Rattus norvegicus: one gene and its partner. The main gene of each other region encodes a partner of the protein of the gene in region 2 in a complex. Links are inferred from orthologs where the notes say so. Each region holds a gene or a part of one and is shown on either strand. Other genes may lie near its edges. The genes, in order: Eif3l and Eif3i.

What was found.
Region 1: Eif3i (region 2) and Eif3l share a complex: the UniProt entries of both Homo sapiens proteins name them as parts of the eukaryotic translation initiation factor 3 (eIF-3) complex. The link is inferred for Rattus norvegicus from reciprocal best matches to the Homo sapiens genes EIF3I and EIF3L.

Annotation. Positions count from the first base shown.
Region 1 is NC_086025.1:112,535,968-112,539,792, reverse strand, and holds part of Eif3l (eukaryotic translation initiation factor 3 subunit L), read right to left. Parts: intron 1,644-3,825; coding exon 1,473-1,643; intron 1-1,472. UniProt on the Homo sapiens protein: Component of the eukaryotic translation initiation factor 3 (eIF-3) complex, which is required for several steps in the initiation of protein synthesis.
Region 2 is NC_086023.1:147,218,771-147,221,572, forward strand, and holds the end of Eif3i (eukaryotic translation initiation factor 3 subunit I), read right to left. Parts: intron 2,248-2,802; coding exon 2,137-2,247; intron 2,034-2,136; coding exon 1,944-2,033; intron 1,672-1,943; coding exon 1,598-1,671; intron 1,056-1,597; coding exon 963-1,055; intron 851-962; coding exon 769-850; 3' UTR 687-768; downstream 1-686. UniProt on the Homo sapiens protein: Component of the eukaryotic translation initiation factor 3 (eIF-3) complex, which is required for several steps in the initiation of protein synthesis.

The DNA of each region.
Region 1 (3,825 bases), on a different chromosome or scaffold from region 2:
CATAGGAGCAACAGTGGCAAAGAACCCACAGTGGGGAGGCCAATAAGCCCCAATGGTGAACCAGCTACTATTAGTTTGCTAAATGGACATAGCATCCATGCCCTCTAAATCTGTATCTAACCAACTCTATCAAAGAAGTCCCAGTGTAGAATGGAGGGCAGCTAACTAAGAAACTCTCAAGTGAATCCAGAGGAATGTTTGTGAACTGCTCGGCCACAAATGGAGCATCTGTATCACACCCCCTTCACCCAAGACCACGGAGGAGGGGGGTCAGAGAGATTGTAAGGGCTCTGGAGCACAGTAGTGTCCCATGGCAGGGTCCCTGTGCATGAACTGACAGCAACTGTGGTTTGCTGCCAGTCAACATTCCTCCATGGATCAGGGAGGAGCTCAACAGCCCACACCCCTGGCTGAGGGGCCTTTAGCGGCTGATGGCTTCTGAGGGCCAGTTTTCAGTGTCTCCACACCCATGAGCATGTGGGAGCACAACTACTCCCTGGGCTATGAAATAGAAACGAGTAATAAAATAAAAATTAAGTAAACAAAAGATACAGAGTTAAGAGGGTTGGGGTCTGGGAGGAGTTAAGAGGGAGGAGTAGGGAGAGAACATGAAGATACTTTGCACACATGCATGAAAATCAAATGATTAGAAACAACATCACACTGTTTTAAAAAGACAGAACAGGCAGGGGTGGTGTTCCCGTAACCCCAGAGCCTGAGCTGCTGTGAACAGGGAGACAGTAGCAGGCCACAGCCATCAATGGAGTTCCTAAACAACAGCCCCTGTGACGCCTCTAGAAGGGAGAAGGCAGGCGGGGGTGTTCAGAGAAGAAGCTTATAAAAGACCGAAAAGAAATTACCGAGTCTATCTACAGCACAGCAGGGCACTATTTTATATCACTTTATAGCTACAAAGATCTAGGAGACCTGGGTGGTGGTGGAGCACACCTTTAATCCCAGCCCTCGGGAGACAGGCGGATCTGAGTTTGAGGCCAGACTGGTCTACAGAGCAAGATCTAGGACAGCCAAGACTACACAAAGAAATCTGTCTTGAAAAACTAAAAACCAAACCTACGAACTCAAAGGACAGGTTGAAAGTTTTCAACACAAACAAATGATAAATAGTTAAGGATGAGAAACACTAAGATTTTCTTTTGAGACAGGGTCTCTCTACATAGCCCTGGCTGTCCTGGAACTCACTCTGTAGACCAGGTTAGCCTCAAACTTAAAGATACACCTGTCTCCGCTTCCCATACACAAAGATTAAGATTGAAGGTTTGTGTCAGCAAACCCAGCTCTGATTTCTATCTCTCTTTTTAAAATCTAATTACCACATATCCCACAAATATACCCAATTTAAACTGTACTGAAGTGAGGTAGTTTAAGAGTAGCAAATTTTGGGTGGTGTTTATGGAGAACTGTTGGCACAGGTGCTGAGCAGTGGGCTGCCTGGTGAGACAGACTTCTCTTACCATTTCATACTTGTATGTGGTCCTCTGGAACATACTCTTGGTCCTCTGGATGTACAGGAGGATGTTGGCAAAGACGCGGATAGCATCCTGGTATCGACGCATCATTAAATATGCAAAACCAACATAATAGTAGGTGGTGACCTGGCACTCAGGCACACGGGAATACATGCTCTGCAAAGAAAGGTGGAAGCAGTAGCCATGAGTCCTGACTCATCCCAAACAGGGTGAAGTCATCAGGGCTCAGTGGCAGCAGAGGTAAGTGCCTTTCTGTGAGTCTGAAGACAGGCGGGTCTACATCAAGTTCCAGGACAGTCAAAGCTATACAGTGAGACCTGTCTCCAAAACATAAAGACAAACAGACAGACATTAAAAACCTAAGTGTCAAGAGAGGAGAAGGTGAGAAGCCATGGCAGGTGATGTTAAGATTCTGCTCTGTGTATTTACAGGTTGTTATCAATGTTCCTAAGGGATGGATGGTACCAGGCTTTGTATGTTTAAGTGGGCAATTATATCTTATCAATTGGGTCAAAGATTATTGTGTGTTCTTTTATGTGATGGTTTGAGTATAGGAAAGTGTGTGGCGGCAGGAGACTCTGGGCCACTGAGGAGTTGGGATGTGTTCCGCCAAGATATCTAGCAGATACGTTGGGCACCTTGGTGCAGGACCCAGCAAGGTAAAAGACACCTATACCTTTCTATTTTATATATTTTTACAACAACAGATGGAGAACCAATGTGATGGGCAAGAATCCACTAGTAATTTTAAGAGTTGAGAGAAAGTTTTTATTTTCCAAGAGGAGGCCAGCGCCATCTTAAGTCATGTGATATCTTAAGGGCGGGAATTCAAACAAAGAGAGGGGAAGCAGCCTGGGCTGGCAGACTGTCGGTCCCCTGCTGTGTGATATGTAATGGCAGCTCAGAGAGTTAAAGATTAAAAGCTGCTTTTTAAAGAAATTTGTTTAGAAAGTCTTTCAGGATACTCATATTCTTTTTAATTTGGGCTCCACGAGAATTCTGGGTTGAAATCCTAGTTAGACAAGCTACTTCTTAATTATAGGTATTATTAAAAGGTGATTAAATTTGTTTTTAGAAAGAAGAGAGTAAAGAGATTACCTGAATCAGGGGGAGAGTGAATGCAGACATGTATTATAGAAGTTATTAAGGTTAAATAAAAATATGTGGCTCCGGGTAGAGAGCTTAACAGATGGATATATTTTGGGCTAAAGTCCTGATTTTTAAGTTGCTTATTGGTTTTAGAATTGATAGAAGGTGTTTAAGTTTGTTTTAAAGAGAGTAAAGAGATTACCTGAATCACGTGGGGATTTTCATCTATGGTTCGGAACTTAGATAGGGAAAAATTGGTCACTAACTCCAAGTAGAGAGTTGTGATAATTGTCTGTAACACCAGGGAGAGTGAATGCAGACATATATTATAGAAATTATTGAGGTTAAATAAAAATATGTGGCTCCAGGTAGAGAGCTTGACAGATTGAGATATTTTGGGTTAAAGTCCTGGTTTGATATGTTCCTTATTGATATTGGAATTGATAGAAAGTATTTGGTTTGTTTTATGAATTACCCCGCTAAAGACCATATGGCTCGTTGATGCCGGCTAGCGAGGGTTTGTGGTTACTTTTGATAGTTAACACAACAGGAAGCTCGGATTCTCTTAACGTGGGCTCCACGGGAATTTTGGGTTAATTTCCTGATATCACAAAGTACAAAAGCCTATCAGGCTCATTGTTTAGCTTACTTCATTTTTAAAAAATTGTTTAGTCTTCATGATGGGTGTGACTTTGAGTTTTATGGTTAAATTATTACTCTGGGAGAGAGTGCAAGATACAAGCCTTTCTGGTTTCAGACTAAGGAACACAGTATTTTGGGAGAAAGATTTTTGTCTTTGTGCTTTTAAAAAGTGTTATCAGGCTCTGGAAACCTCACAGAGTCATACTGATCAGATTTGATAGAGGTAGGCCACCTGAAAAATTTATTCAGGAGAATCAAACTAAAAGATATCTCGATTCTAAATGTTTGTCTTGAGAGTTATATGTTACAGAGTGTGCCCACTTGGATTCCTGGTCTCAAGGACTTTCAGCTGGGTCCAGCCAGACACATCGGCTACAGCATTTGCTTCATTCTTCCTACCTCCCTACGCCCAAGGATATCTCAACGCCCATGTACAGCTTGAAGAAGTTATAGAGGAGTTGTCGCCCTAATTCCCTGGACTTTGTTGGGGCTGAAAGTGGTTATTCTAAAGTTGTTTTTATGAGGAATTTAAAATTGGTTGTAATTTAACAGCTAGATTGAATTGTACAGTCATAATCTCATTTGGTAACTAAGCTTAAATCATCTT
Region 2 (2,802 bases):
CAGCCCACAACTGTGTGTAACTCCTTCCAGGGGACATCCTCTTCTGGCCTTCATGGGCACCAGGCAAAACCACAACACATATGACATAGCGTGTTGCATGTGTATTATGTATGTGCTATGATACACAGGGGGGTCAGGTAGACAGTTTTCAAGTGTTGACTCTCTTTCAACATTTGGACCGGAGGGTTAAACCAGGTTACCAGGCTTGTGGGGTTACAGGCCGTTGTGAGCTGCCCAACATGGGTTTCCTATGCCCAACATAGGAAACCAAGAGCCACCCACGCCACACCCTCGATTCCTTGGTCATGGCTTTCTGTGGAGCCCCAGAACCTGTGTCTTCGGTGAAGTAATCCCCAGTTCCCCTGGAGATTTCCCTCCCTGCTGGGTTTCCTCACCTCTCTTCCTCCTCAGGCCCTTTCCTGTGCTGGTCACGCCCACCTGAGCCATCAATTAGGGATAAGAGGGTAGGGGGAAGGTTCTTTGCCCACAGCCTGGCTTCTTGAATGTGGTGCAGTGGTTCTAAGCCTCTTGGATAAAGATGTCTACCACACAGGTGAGCCCGAAGCATGCAGAGTCTGGGTGCCGAGAGAAGACTCCAATAATAAAAGTATTCTTTATGATCAGCCACTCGAGGCTCAGTGAAGAGGGAAAAATGGTCAGGCTGCACAAAACGTCTGACAAGGAACTATTTTTAACAAACTAATTTATTCTTCAGAGTCTAAAACCTTCTGTGAGCAGCTTCCCGATTGTGGAGAGAGATCCAGCCCCTCAGGCCTCAAACTCGAACTCGAAGTACTGAGGGTCGAAGTAGTGGATGCGGACATAGCCGTCTTCGCCACCGCTGCTGTAGCTGGAAAGAGACCGACAGTCAGCTGCTGCTGTGGGAGGGGAAGCCTGCGCAGCCACAAAGCAAATGGGCAGAGACCCCCGGCCGCTGGGCTGTTTCCTCAGTGGGGCCATACCTCTTGCCATCGGGATGGAAGGCAACACTGTTGATAGGTCCAAAGTGGCCCTTGACTCTTCCAAACTCTTCCTCAAAAGCCAAATGGAAGAACCTGGGGTAGGGGAGGGGGTAGAGGAGACCCAGTTATTCCAAAAGGCACCGAGGCAGCATTCTACAAAACGAAGACTACTGAGGTAGTATTTTATGTAACAAAATTAATAAAGTAGAGGAATTAGGATAAAGGAGACATAAGACGAAGCAAACTACGAAGGAAAACTATGCAAACATCTGCCTCAATACACAGCTGGCAGTGCTCTAAAGCTCTCATAATATTAATTCATTTACTTAACATGCACAAAGGTGCATTACTGAGGTGAGCAATGTCCCACTAAACAGTCGAGAATCCCGGATACGGAGAATGTCATCTAGGCCCCCAGGGTTCACGATCCCTGCTGTTGTTTACAAACAGGGTCCCCTGTAGCCCAGCAGAGCAAGGAGCTGAGCTAAAGCCAAGGATGACCTTGAGGCTGGTGTGAGGCGAGCGCCTTAGCCAGCTGTATGTGCAGCTGATTTCATGACCCCACCTGCTGCACTGGACATCTGTCACGTTCCCTTTGATCCTCAGTGGTCAGGAGTCTGCTTCCTTCCCCTTACCTGGCCTCAAACTTGCCAATCCTGGTGGAGGTTGTGGTCACATCCATGGCTTCCTGACCACCTCCCAGCACCACCTAAAGGGAAGAAAGATCAGGGCAGCCAGGACTTAGGTACAGGCCTGTCCTCTGCTTTTCTGCTTATAACATCTCTCCACACAGTGGGAGGATCGTCAGGGAGGGGGTGAGCGGCCACTTCAAGGACCTTCTGCCACAAATCAGTCAGCACTGTAACCATGGTAGGAGTTCCTTTCTACCTGACACCATTTTCCCCATCTTACAGCCTAATTGTTGGGCAAACATCCAGACCCTAGACGCTTTAGCAGGAGGCCTGGACAGGGTCTTCTTACATGGTCATAGTTGGGAGAGAGAGCAGCCGAGTTGACGGGACGTTCTGTTCGGAAAGTCTTCTGATGTTCAAGACTTGTGGAGTCGAAGAGCTGGGAGGGAGGGGGAGAACCTGTGATGGGCACCTTTCCCGGCAGGTCGAACCGGTTGAATATGCATCAGGAGGGCAAGTGACTAGACCCCTACCCAGCTCACCTTAGCTGTGTTGTCCTTGGATGCGGTGACAAACATGGTCATGTCTCTAGACAACTGGATGTCATTGATCTGCCGGGAGTGTTCCTTAACGTTCACCAATACCTCTCCAGACTGGAGGGGGAGGACCAGTTAGACCCACGTGCCCGAGTCCAAGCCGCCATTCCCCAGAAGCCCAAGACCAGCTGAACTTGACTTGACACCTTTCTTACCCTCAACCTAATCTCTGACCCCTAGTCCCTCCCGCAAGCCTTACTTTTGGTACTGAGCTTGACTGACTCCACGTACTCTGTCACTGAGCTCAACCCCTGGCTCTTTTTTTTTTTTGGTTCTTTTTTTTCGGAGCTGGGAACCGAACCCAGGGCCTTGTGCTTCCTAGGTAAGCGCTCTACCACTGAGCTAAATCCCCAACCCCCCCCCCCCCCCGGCTCTTTTTAATTAAAACAATTTTGTGGATGGGTGTGTGCCTGCATGTGTATATATACATGTGTCTGTGCCCACAGCTGAGAGGAGAGCCTTGAATCCCCTAGAACTGGAGTCACAGATAGCTGTGAACTGCCGAATGGGTGCTGGGAAAAGAACTCAGGTCCTCTGCCAGAGCAGCAAGTATTCTTAACCATCAAGTCATCTCTCCAGGCCCAGATGGCTTGCATTTTTTCAATGTGAGGC